2 linked regions of the Notamacropus eugenii genome follow. The protein of the gene in region 2 purifies or fractionates together with the protein of the main gene of each other region. This does not show direct contact. Links are inferred from orthologs where the notes say so. Each region holds a gene or a part of one and is shown on either strand. Other genes may lie near its edges.

The links. Proteins that work in one complex are often made in the same cells at the same time.
Region 1: the proteins of LATS1 (region 2) and SAV1 purify together in Homo sapiens (affinity purification with western blotting; 3 studies listed by BioGRID). This does not show direct contact. The link is inferred for Notamacropus eugenii from reciprocal best matches to the Homo sapiens genes LATS1 and SAV1.

Annotation. Positions count from the first base shown.
Region 1 is NC_092872.1:308,773,462-308,779,683, reverse strand, and holds the start of SAV1 (protein salvador homolog 1), read left to right. Parts: upstream 1-2,556; 5' UTR 2,557-2,963; coding exon 2,964-3,057; intron 3,058-6,222. UniProt on the Homo sapiens protein: Regulator of STK3/MST2 and STK4/MST1 in the Hippo signaling pathway which plays a pivotal role in organ size control and tumor suppression by restricting proliferation and promoting apoptosis.
Region 2 is NC_092873.1:241,731,717-241,737,938, reverse strand, and holds the start of LATS1 (serine/threonine-protein kinase LATS1), read left to right. Parts: upstream 1-2,104; 5' UTR 2,105-2,238; coding exon 2,239-2,589; intron 2,590-6,222. UniProt on the Homo sapiens protein: Negative regulator of YAP1 in the Hippo signaling pathway that plays a pivotal role in organ size control and tumor suppression by restricting proliferation and promoting apoptosis.

The DNA of each region.
Region 1 (6,222 bases), on a different chromosome or scaffold from region 2:
AAATGGACATCTTAATGGGATGTAGGTGGGTGGGAAACTAGATACATACAAAGCAGATGTGAGGTAACCTTGGATGGGAAACAACTTTCTGCAGACCTTTGAGATTTTCTCAGCTGTCTTGAAGGAAATCAGGGATTCCAATAGATGATATCTTGAATTTTCGTGTATCTGGTTTTCTAACCAAGCCTGGGACATTTTGCATACTGATGAATATGCAGGAGATTTGACTCAGGTTGTTGGAGAGAATACTTGATGTTGAGTACCTGAACAAGATATAGAGCTGGTGCCAGTACTTTTTTTTGGGAAAAGACTTGTGGTTCCAGACAATCCTTGGACAAGATGTATAGAGGAGCTGTAAACGTACAGGGGAGTCTGGCTCACCAGTATGTCCTGATTTCAGGGATTGAACAAGTATTCTGTGCTATTGTTGTTCAGTCATAGCACTACAAGCCCTTCCATCCTCCTGTATCTTTCAAAATCTGTCCAAGTTCACATTCAATTGTTTCCATGGAACCATCTATCCATCTCCTCCTTTGCAGTCTCCTTTTCCTTTTGCTTTCAATCTTTTCCATGTGTCCAAAGTATTTAAGCTTCACCTTCAGTATTTGACCTTCCACTAAACAATCTGAATTAATTTCCTTAAGAAATTGATGGAATTGAAAGAAAAAGGAAAAGGGGACAGCAGTTAATTGATATTGAGTTTTCTGTCTTGTTATGAGCTATCTTATTATTAAAGAGTTCATTCTTTGATATATTCCAATGTGTGTAACTTCTTTGATTGTTTAGTTGTTTGAAATGGTTTTACTTGCTATTCTTCATTTGTGATGCTACTTTGTTTAACCAGTGTTTGGTGGAAAGGTGGAAACCTTCTTTTGATCTTCTCTAGAAATATGAAGAAACATGTATTTTTCCAGTCTCAAAAATCCTTCCCAGACTTGTCACCTTAGGAAGGTGGGTTAGGTCAATATTCAGGAAACTGGATTAAAAGTGGAAAACAAATTTTGAACAGAGTACCTCTTCTCTTATTAAGATCATAACTAGAGTAGTGGGTGACCCATCCTTGGGAAATAATCTCTTTTCCAGTAAGAAAGAAGCACCTCTTGTTGTTCAGAAAAGATTACGATTTTAGAAAGAAGATCCTTTCAGAATTTGAGAGGAATAGTTCAGGAAGGAATTGAGTGGTTCTAGTCGAAGATTAAATAACTAATATTCATGACCATTGTTCTGAAATGTCATACCAAACTACTTTAACAGTTCTTATAGATTCTTATAAATATTTCAGAAAATTATCTTGGAGCATAAAGACGTCCTGAGGCATAAGAATGAGTTCAGTTTGAACATTTCTCTCTCTAAGCTGGAAATGCTTATATATAAAGTTATGTGAAATTGTTTCTGGCAGACTTGTGTCTACAATACAGATTATGAAGTTAAATTTTTTTTTTGACAGCACTACACTTTTTTGAATGAGGGCTATTCTCATCTTTAAGAGTAATCAGGGACCTGGCTTTCCTTCAGAACTATTCTTGTACACCTGAGGAGGAGAAAGTGAGGCTGGTGACCTTGCACAGCCCTCCTAAACTCAAAATAAAGTCAAACGCAAGTCATATCATCATTTCTCTGATGTCATGGTCTTCTTGGAAAACGAAAGACGAACACAACAACAACCTGTACACCTAGAATACTGATATTTGAGATGGCAGATAGATGTACTTATAGCTTGATACTTCTCTTGGAAACAGGCAAGAGAAGAAGCAAGAGTTCAGTCATGGCTCTTCTCTGCTCTTGAGGTAGGACTCAGTCTTCCTTGGAGAGGTAAGCCAGATTTTAGAGAAATCTATCCATGTCATCAATGAGTCCCGTCCATACAACTATTACCTTTTTATAGGACAACCACACGACCTAAATTTACTGAGCATATTGATTTTAAGAATACTGTATATTTCAACAAAGCTTTGTAAAAAGAATTTCACTGGTCAGACTGCATCCTGGGCTCTTGGATGCATTATTATCTTTCCCACAAATATCCTCCACTCCTCCTATGCTATTCCTTTGGCGTGTACCACCATTTTCCTAGTCACCCAGGCCCACAACTTGGATGTTACTCTTACCTGCTCAAGAGTGGCAATTTTCAAGTTTATGTTTAATATTTTGTTCATATAATTGTGATATATGATTTTGTTTTTCCATATTTTCTTTAAGAATAAATGTTTCCTTTTCCTATTTTCTATTTCATTTGTATGCTGGGAAGGGAATGATTTTGACTTTTGCCTATCAAATACCAATTTTAAACTGATCCTCTCCTCTCCTTCCCTTCTCCCCTTCTCTTTTTAAGCCCTTGTCGGGCTAGGGCTGAACATTTTTTTCCCCGGAGGGTCGAACTTACAGATCTTGAGATGGAATCTAATGAAGACTTTCCCCGTCTTCCTTCCTGTCCTCAAGTACTCTTCTTTCCTGGCTTCCTCCCCGGACTCACTAAGAAGAGCCGCCCCTGGCTACTCCTTTAAGCTCTCCCCGCGCTGTTTGTGCCCGGCTAGAGAACGGGCGGAAGAGGGCACGTGCTGCGTACAATCCCCCAGAATCCCCTGCAGCCTACAGGAAAGGTCCCGGGCGCAGGAGTCTGCCGCGATTTCGTTCCCGGGCACAGGCCGAGCCGCCGCGGATCATGGCTCTGGCCTCGTTCGCTTGCGCTTCCCTGGGCGGCCCCGCGGAGCAGGCGAGCTTCCGGAAAGGGTCGAACGGGAGCGTGCGGAGCGGCCGACACACTTAGCAGCCCCGTAAAATGCAGCATTCTCTGCGGAGGAGCCGGGGCTTTGGGGCGGCGGGCGACTGCGGCTCGCTAGCGGCTGGAAGGGAAGTGGGCTGTGGCGCTGCCCCCTGGCGCGGCGGAGGCCGGGGCTGCCCGCTCTAGGAAAGTTCGCTGGGCGCCTGCGAGGCTTCGGGGGGCCCCGGACCGGGCCGGCGAGATGTTGTCGCGAAAGAAAACGAAGAACGAAGTGTCCAAACCGGCCGAAGTGCAGGGGAAGTACGTAAAGAAGGAGACCTCGCCACTGCTGCGGAGTGAGTCCCTGGCGAGCCGAGAGGGGGCAGGGGCGTGGCGGCGGCGCCGAGAAGGGAGGGCCGGCTGCCGTGGCCCTGCGCTCCCTTCGGGGCCTGAAGCCCGGGAGTTTAAGGCTTGGCTTCTGCTGGCCCCGCTGCCGGGGAGGGTGGAGAAGGAGCGCTTGGAGCTGCGTGTGGATGAGGGCTGAGCTGGGTTTGGGCGACCTGGGGCTGGCGGGAAGGGGTGCCAGGCACCAGTCAGCCCGTGCTTTGGCCAAAATCTATACATTCACATATATAATTCATACCTATAACTCTGGGATTTGCCTGGTTGCTTTACCTGTGTCTCCTTGACTTAGGTTACTTCCAAGGGCACTATTTTTAATGATGTTTATTTTTTGGTTTCTTTTGCTTTGGTTTGTTTTCTCCTTCGAACAATTAACTAAAAACAGTACATGAGATATCAAAATCTTGCCCTTAGGACAGAGTATCACGTTATATGTTACTCTGTATCCATGTTGGCATTGTTTTCACTTACGATAAAAGACTTAGTGTAACAATGTGAATTATGATTCTTCAGGGAGTTAGCCATCTAAAAGTTTAAATTTGAAGTGTTTGGAAACCAGTTCCAGCTTTTAGACATCTGGTGAAACAGCAGGCCTTTATTAAAGGCCTGCTGTGTGCTAGAGAAAAATGAATTGGCAAATGCTTTCAAGGAACTTAAGTTCTATAGGGAAACAGTATGCATAAACATAAATAAGAAATATAATTTTTAGGAACGGTATTAGCAGATGGGGAGGGATGATAAAAGAGGTGGCACTTGAGCTGACTTTTGAAGGAAGTTAGGGATTCTAAGGCATAGAAGAGAGGGAATTCGAAGCATGGGAGGACAGTGCAAAAGCACAGAAACAGGTGATAGAACAACAGGAGGGAGGCCAGTTTTGCTGGATCATAGAATGTGTAAGTAAATAAATAGAAAAGCATTTATTGAGGGCTAATATACTATGTGGCAGGTAGCCTATTAGGTGCTGGGGGTACAATGATGAAAGTGAGACATTCAATAAACATTTACTAAGTGCCTGTTTCTGTTGTCCTTCAGTTGTAGCAGACTCCTTTTGACCCTATTTGGGGTGTTCTTGGCAAAGGCAGTGAAGTGGTTTGCCATTTCCTTTCCAGCTCATTTTATAGGTGAGGAAACTCAGGCAAACAGGGTTAAATGACTTGTCCTGGATCACAGAACTAGTAAGTGTCCCAGGCCAGATTTGAACTGAGATCTTCCTAACTTCAGGCCCAGTGCTATACTCACTGCACCATTTAGCAGCCCCTTTTAAATGCCTTCAGTGTGCCAGGCACTGTGCTAAGCACTGGGCATTGACAGTTCCTGCCCGTAAAGGAGCTCACAATTTATTGGGGGAGATAACATGCAAACAATTATGTACAAAGAAGCTATATAGAGGATAAATAGTAAATCATCACAGAAGAGATTAGAATTAAGAGGGATGGAGGGGGCAGAGAAGGCAAGGGAAAGGGAATAAACATTTATATAGCATCTACTAAGGACCAAACTGTACTAAGCTCTTTATAAACTTTTAAGTTTATTTAATTGGGATTGGAAAAGACATTTTGTATAAAGTGAGATTTTAGCTGGGACCACAGAGGAGGGGGGGAGAATGAGTTCAGTTTGGAACATGTTGAGTTTAAGATGTCTCTAAGATATGTGCAGTAGGCATTTGGAGATGGGAGCTGAGCTCAGCAGAGAGGTTAGGATTGGATAAGGAGATCTGAGAATCATCAACATTAAAGATGATAATAGAATTCATAGGAGCTGATGAGATTATTAAGTAAAATAATACAGAGAGAAAAGAGGGCACAGAATAGAGCCCTGTGGGATACCTAAGGTTACTGGGACTCCCCTGGATGAAGATCCATCCAAGAAGACTGAGAAGGAGCAGGTAGGAAGAGAACCAGGAGAGAGCAGTGTCCTGAATACCTAAAGCAAAGAGAGTGTTGAGGAATGGAGGATGACCAAATGTGTCAGAGATTTCAGAGAGGTCCAAAAGTCTGAAGATTAGGACAAGGCCATTGTATTTGGCTGTTAGAACATCATTGTTAACTTTGATGAGAGCAATTTTGGTGGAATAATGAAGTTAGAAGATGCCAGATTGTGAAGTTAAGAAGATAGTGAGAAGAAAGGTAGTGGAAGCATCTATTATATGTGGCCTTCTTAAGAAGTTTAATCACAAAAGACTAAAGAGATATTGGATGAGAATTAGTGGAGATGGAAGATCAAGACATAACCATGTTTTTCAGGCAAGAGGGAAGTAGCCAGTAGACAGAGATTGTATTTAAGTGAGAGAATTGGCATGATAGAGGGGGCATACCGCTGGAGGAGATAGAATGGAATGGAACCACTTATGCAGATATCCGGGTTTGCCTTGGCAAGGAGAGGGGCCACATCGTGCTTCAGGTGAAGGAGGAAATAGTAGCAGTTTGTATCAGAGTATTATAAGGTGAGGAGGAGGGGAGAAGAGGTTTGCAAGAACATTTGTTGAGAGTGGAATAGTGAATTAAATAGGAAAGTATGGAGTGATTGCCTAGCAGCAATGAGGACACATGTAGTTAGGTAACAAATTTGTAGTGGACTCAGAACAGTTGTGTGATTTTTCTCCTTTGTTCAGCAATTGTATAATGATGCACACTGGGAGTGTGGAATGATACAAGACTGAGACTTGGCTGGGCATAATTGGCCTTATGGTAAGAGGACAAGACATTTAAGAGGTGAGGACATTATAGAGTTGAACTGGGAAAGAGGAGGCTAGTGCAGAAGTGATGGTCTGAGAGAGAACTGAGTGGTTGGAGAGCACAGTGTGGACAAAAAGCCTGGTTTGGTAATGGAAGGCAAAGGGAAGGGTAGAAAGCCAATGGAATATAATCAGATAAGGGAATTTCAGAGTTCATAAACACAGAGGTGGTTCATTTGTGATTGATGGTAAAATAAAGAGTATGACCATCTTTTGTGTGTGGCTTATGTGGGATGGAGGAGTAGGACATGAATGGATTGAGAAATTGCAGTGTTACTATATTTGAGAGAAAGTCAATATATATATGATGAAGTCTCCTAGTATGAGGGCAGGAGTTGGAAAGAAAAGCTTGTGAGTCAGGTACTGAACTCATTGAGGAATGAAA
Region 2 (6,222 bases):
CTTCAAGGCTAACCCCTCTATTTGTTCAAGCAATCCCATTACATCCCATTTCCTCCAACAGATTGCCACCTCTGTCATCCCCATTCTTTGGCTTATTTTCCCTCTCTCCCTCTCTATTGGCTCATTTTCTTCTGCTTACAAACATGCTCATGTCTCCCTCATCCTGAAAAAACCCTCCCTTGGCCCTTCCATCACTGTATTCTGTATATTACATCCGTTTGTAGCTCAGCTCAAAGAAAAGACCATTTATAGTAAGTGCTCCTCTTTCCCCCCTCACTCTTTTCTTAACATCTTACAATCTGGCTTCTGATTTTTTTATTCCGCCAAAACTACTCTCTCCAAAGTTACTAATGATCTCTTACTTACTAAGTTCTTTGGCCATTTTTCAATGCTTATTCTCCTTGACCTCTCTGCAGCCTTTGACATGATCATTCTCTCTTCATGAAGACTCTTTTCTGTAGGTTGTCAAAACTCTACTCTCTCCTGGTTTTCCTCCTCCTTGCCTGATCACTCTCTATCTCATTTGCTGGATCCTACTCCAGATCACACCCTCTCCCCAAAAGTGTCCCACAGCAGGCTGCCCTGATTCCTCTTCTCTTCACCCTCTTTCACTTGGTGATCTGAGTAGCTCCCATGGATTTAATGACCATTTCTGTGCTGATAATTCTCAGACCTCTTTCCTGCCTCAGTCTCTCTGCTGACTTGGTTCAGCCTTACATCTCCAGCTGCCTTTCAGACATCTCAAACTAGATGTTCAGTAGACAACTTCATCTCATCATGTCCAACATCAAACTCATTATCTTCCCCTCTAAACCCTGCCCTCTTCCTACCTACCCTATTACTATAAAGGGCAACACTATCCTTCCAGTCCCTTAGGCTCTCAATTTAGGAGTCATCTGGATTTCTCATTATCTCTCAATCACCATTATCAAAGCTATTGGCAAAGCCTGTTGATTTCACCTTTTCAGTGTCTCTTGAATTTGCCCCCTTCTTTCTTCTTATCCTGCCTCTGTTCCAGTATAGGCCCTCTTCATCTCACACCTGGTCTCCCTGTTACAAGTCTGTCCATCTTCCCTTCAGGCACTAAGGTAATTTTCTTAAACTTAAAGTCACTTTATCCCCTCCCCCTCCTACTCAGTAAACTCCAGTGGCTTGCTGTTACTTCCAGGATTAAGTACCAGATGCTCTGTTTAGCATTCAGAATTCTTAATAAGCTAACCCCCTTCTACCTTTTCAGTTTTCTTATACCTTACTCTCTAACACATATTCTTCTATCCAGTGATACCAGCCTTCTGTTTATTCCACAAATAAGACACTCCATCTCTGGAATCCTGGCTTTTTCTCTGGCTGTCCTCCATGCCAGGAATGCTCTTCCTCTTTCACCACTCTGGCTGTTGACCTCCTTGGCTTCCTTTAAGTCCCAAGTAAAATCTCACCTTCTACAGGAAGCCTTCCCCACCCCTTCTTAATTCAATGCCTTCCCTCTGTTAATCATTTCCTATTTATCCTGTATACAGCTTGCTTTATAAATATTTTTTTTGTTTTTATATTCTCTCTCCCTTAAATTGTACGTTCTTTTGAGAGCGGGGGACTGTCTTTTGCCTCTTTTTTTATCCCTAGCACTTACCACGGTACCTGACACATTGTAGATGCTTAACAAATGTTTATAGATTGGTTAGTTGATTATCTACCCTGTATATATCTTGTGTTACCTGATTATTTACCTGTTGTCTGTTCCATTAGAATGTGAGCTTCTTGAGGGCAGGGAATATTTTTGCCCCCGTATTTGTTTCCACTGCTTAGCACAGTACACTTAATAATCATTTGTTGGCTGTATTATTACACTGCAAATTTATTGATAATCCCTGGTATTTGTATAATATCTTATATTTTTCAAAGTTCTTTTACGCATTGATCCTTGCAACATTTCTGAGCATTTAAAATAAAGAAAATGAAGTATGGAGAGCTTGCGATTTTTCTAGCCACATAATAATTCATTAGGTGAATGGAGATTACTGACTAGATTCAGCGTTCTTTTCACTATAAGCAATTATAGCTGTAATTTTCTGTCATTTTCAGAGTTGAATCATTTCAGCAGTAAAGAATCCAGCAGACCTCAATGTTTTGTGAAGTACTATTTTCATCTTTTGCTTGAGAGAATTCTGAAACTACCAAGTAGCTTTGACAAGTATTTGTGTGAGTGAATCCTTTGTGAAGGTTATACAGATAGATGTTTTCATGAAGAGAGGTGAAAAGCCGGAAGGGTATAGACAAATGAGGCCTAAGACCTTTCCTGCCAGTAACTACACTGGCAGTAGCAGGCAAATGTTGCAAGAAATACGGGAGTCTCTTAGGAATTTACCTAAACCATCAGATGCTGCAAAAGCTGAGCATAATATGAGCAAAATGACAACTGAAGATCCTCGACAAGGCCGAAATCCACCCAAATTTGTGACATATCATAAAGCTTTGCAAGAAATACGAAACTCTCTACTCCCATTTGCAAATGAAGCCAATTCATCCACCAGGAGTGCATCAGAAGTTAATCGACAAATGCTACAAGATATGCAAATTGCTGGATTTGATGAGGTAAGAACTTTTAATGACACTATAGAATATTTCATTTATTTAGACCCAAGATTTACTATAGGATAAGGATAGGCACTGGACCTGTGATTTCATTAATATGGAAAAATCCCAGATAGGAAAGACCTTATATCAATAAGGTTGGTATCTTCTCTGCAACTTACAGTCTTAGAGTTGCCTAGAGTGGAAGATGACAAAATACATTCCACATTCCAAATCTGGCCCAATTCCTATGCCAGTGGTTTACTGAGTCCTGGTCTAAAGCTTAGAGAAGTTAAGTGCCTGACCAGGGTTAAATAGCCATGATATTAGGGGCAGGATTCAAAGCTGGATTTGAGACCAGCTTTTACAAAATTAAGTATAGGTCATGCTAAATACTGATTTTTAGATTGCTTTGTTTTCTAAACACAGGCTCTACCACCAAGTAATAAAGAAGTGATTTGAATCTGAAGCACGAAAATTGGTTGAGATGTGTTGTATGTGTATACACACATTTTTTTATGTCACCTACAAAAATTTCTGGTAGTCCTAATACCATTTATTCATTTACATGAGCCTACCACCTTAGTGTCTAAGTACAATAAAAAAACCACAAAAATCACAACTTATTCTCCCTTTCCTGGAGTGGCCTGGGAATCCAAAGGACAGAGTCTGGAGTCAGAAATACTCAGTATAGTATTTTAGAGAGGAGAGTGAATCTGTAGGATGATGAGCTAGGTAACCAATATAGAAGTAGAAATAGCTGTCTCTATAGGGGAATGGCAGTGGGAAGGATGATGATATGTTCACTTCTAGAGGACTGTAGGTTTTCATTGATGGACAGCTTTCAGTCTTATCTATAAAAATAGTATAGCTAATTCAGATGTTATATAATACATTATTGTTAGTACTGAGAATCTCTTTTGTGTCTTTTCCTTGATAGACCTATTTATCTTTTGTTTAGGCTGTTAAATTTTCTTCTCTTTCCTAATAACACACTTTATAATTGGAAACTTTGGGGGTAAAATACAGAGGTTATATTGAGTTTGACCATAGATAGTCACTATCTGTCTAGATAATCTGTAATTAAATAGTCAAGAAGTGATTTTTCCTTTTAAAAACAAAATCATTAAGTATTGATTAATTGAGAAGAGGAAAAAAGATAGGAAAACAGCAATAATAGAAAGCTTGTAAAGTCTATAATGAAACTACAGAGGAAAAGTAGTTTATTCTACTTGCTATTTGTTCAGTTGTTATTGCTGTTTTGTAAACATTTCATACTTAATAGTTTTTGAAGTATTGAAGATTAAAACAAAAACTTAGATGTATATTTTCTTTGAATGAATTTTATGAATTAGGTAATTGATGTAATAGGCATCTCCAGAACAGTGCATTTTTAATTCCAGAATGATGGACTAAAGAAAAAAGCAATAAAAAGACTCTATTGATCTCAGGTTCTCCTTTGTGAGTATTGCTGGGAAAGAGAATGTATGTATAAAATCACATATCTGATCAGTCTTTAAAAAAAAATTTGACTAAAGTACATGGGGAAATAGATAACAAAACTAAATGGTTGAGGTCTACACTGTGCTACCCATTTCCAAACTCTGCTGATCTGACCAAAAAAGATAAGCCAGAAAGAAGTTAAGAAATGAATAGAATTTAAGAAAAATTAGATATCATAGATCTCTGGCAAAAATTACTGAGTAGGAATGAAAAAGATTATATGCATATCTCAGCTATATGTATATTTGATACACATATCAGCATATTCATTGTGTGTGTGTGTGTGTGTGTGTGTGTGTGTGTGTAGCAAAATTTTCCACATACTAGGCAACAGCTCAGCAAACTACAGCATGCAAGCCAAAGCCAACCTGCTAGTTGTTTTCATACCACCCTGGGCTAAGACTGGTTTTGTATTTTAAAATAAAGTTATTTAAGTATGTAAAAGTCATTTTAAGCAGGGGAAATTGGAGGAGGATGCAGATTTGGCGCTCTGTACGTAGTTTATCAACTCCTGGCTCACATATAAAAATCTCAAAGCAGTATGGAAAATTGTAAATATGAAATGCATGCGTTATGGACCATAACACAAAGGTCTTTGAAGAAAAGAGCCAAACGTAAATGATGTTAAATAATTTAATTCTTAAAAATTGATGAATCAGAGGACAAATAATAGAACTAATAGATACTTTTTCATCAAAGAAAGTGACTATAATGAGACAACATGCCAAAACTTTTGGGATGTTGCCAAAGCAATCCCTAGGGGAAAATTAATATCTCTGAACATTTTCATCAACCAAAGAGAGAAAGAACAGATCAGTAAAGTAGGCATACATTTTTTTAAAAATAGAAAAGCAACAAATCAAGAAACTTCAACTTAACACAAAAATTAGAATTTCTGAAAATCAAGTAAGAAATTAACAAAATTGGAATCAATAAATTCAGAGTTTATTAAAATCTAGGGATTTTTTGTGGGGGGAGATTTTTTTAAAAGGCAAAACATTAGCTGGTATGATTTTTTTTAAGAGAGGAAATCCACATTAATAAAAAATGAAAATGGAAGCTCCATAACAAATGAAGGAGAAATAAAAATATTAAAAACTATTTTGCTTATATGCCAACAAAACTCATAGCATAAATGAAATGGGTGGATATTAGCAAAAAAAAAATAGTCAAATTAACAGAACAAGAAATAGATAGTTTAAATGATCCAATCTTATGCAAGAATTGAACATACCATGAATGAACTCCAAAAGGGGGGAAAACATGACCAGATGGATTTACAAGTGAATTCTACCAAATGTTCAAAGAACAGTGCATTCAATATAATGTAAATTGTTTGCCCAAATAGGAAAAGAAGAAATGCTATCAAATTCTTTCTGTATTTAAAAATAAGGCCTTGATTTCTAACCTTGAGAGAAAAAGCAGAGAAAAAAAACTACAGAATAAACTGTTCATTCCTAATGAATTTCAAAAAAACTATTGAGGATAATGTTAACATATGGTTCACAGAAACAAATTGAAAAGATTTTATTAAAATTAAAAACAAATTTTAAAAATGATCATATTGGATTTCTACTAGGAATGCAGGGTTGGTTCATTAGTAGGAAAGCTATAAATATAATAAGCTGTATTAATAAGAAAAAAACCACATGGTTATATCAATAGATGCGGAAAAGGCTTTTAACAAAAAACTCCCTTTTGTAAAAAACAAGCAAAAAAACCCCACTCTAAGTCAAAGGAATAAGCAGGCCTTTCCATAATATGGTAAATAGTAGACTGGCTATAAAATAAAGAGCCAATGAAGATTATTGTGTAATTGAAGAAAGCTAGAGGTCTTACCAGCACAATCTGGGTAAAGCAAAGATAACCCACTTTTATCACCACTTTTATTTGATATGGTGCTAGAAATGCAAACTATAACAACACAAAAAAGAAAATAAACTGAGGAAGCAAATATAGGTAGAGAAGAAACAGTTGTCACTTTTTACAAATGTTAATGGTCTACTTAGAGAACCCAAAAGATTCAGGAAAAAAACCCCAGATATCATCGTTTCTGTATATGAACAACAAAAAGGGAAACCCAACTGTAAAAGATAGAGAAATTCTATTAAAATATTAATTGGTTATGATTGGGCCATTCCAATACAATAA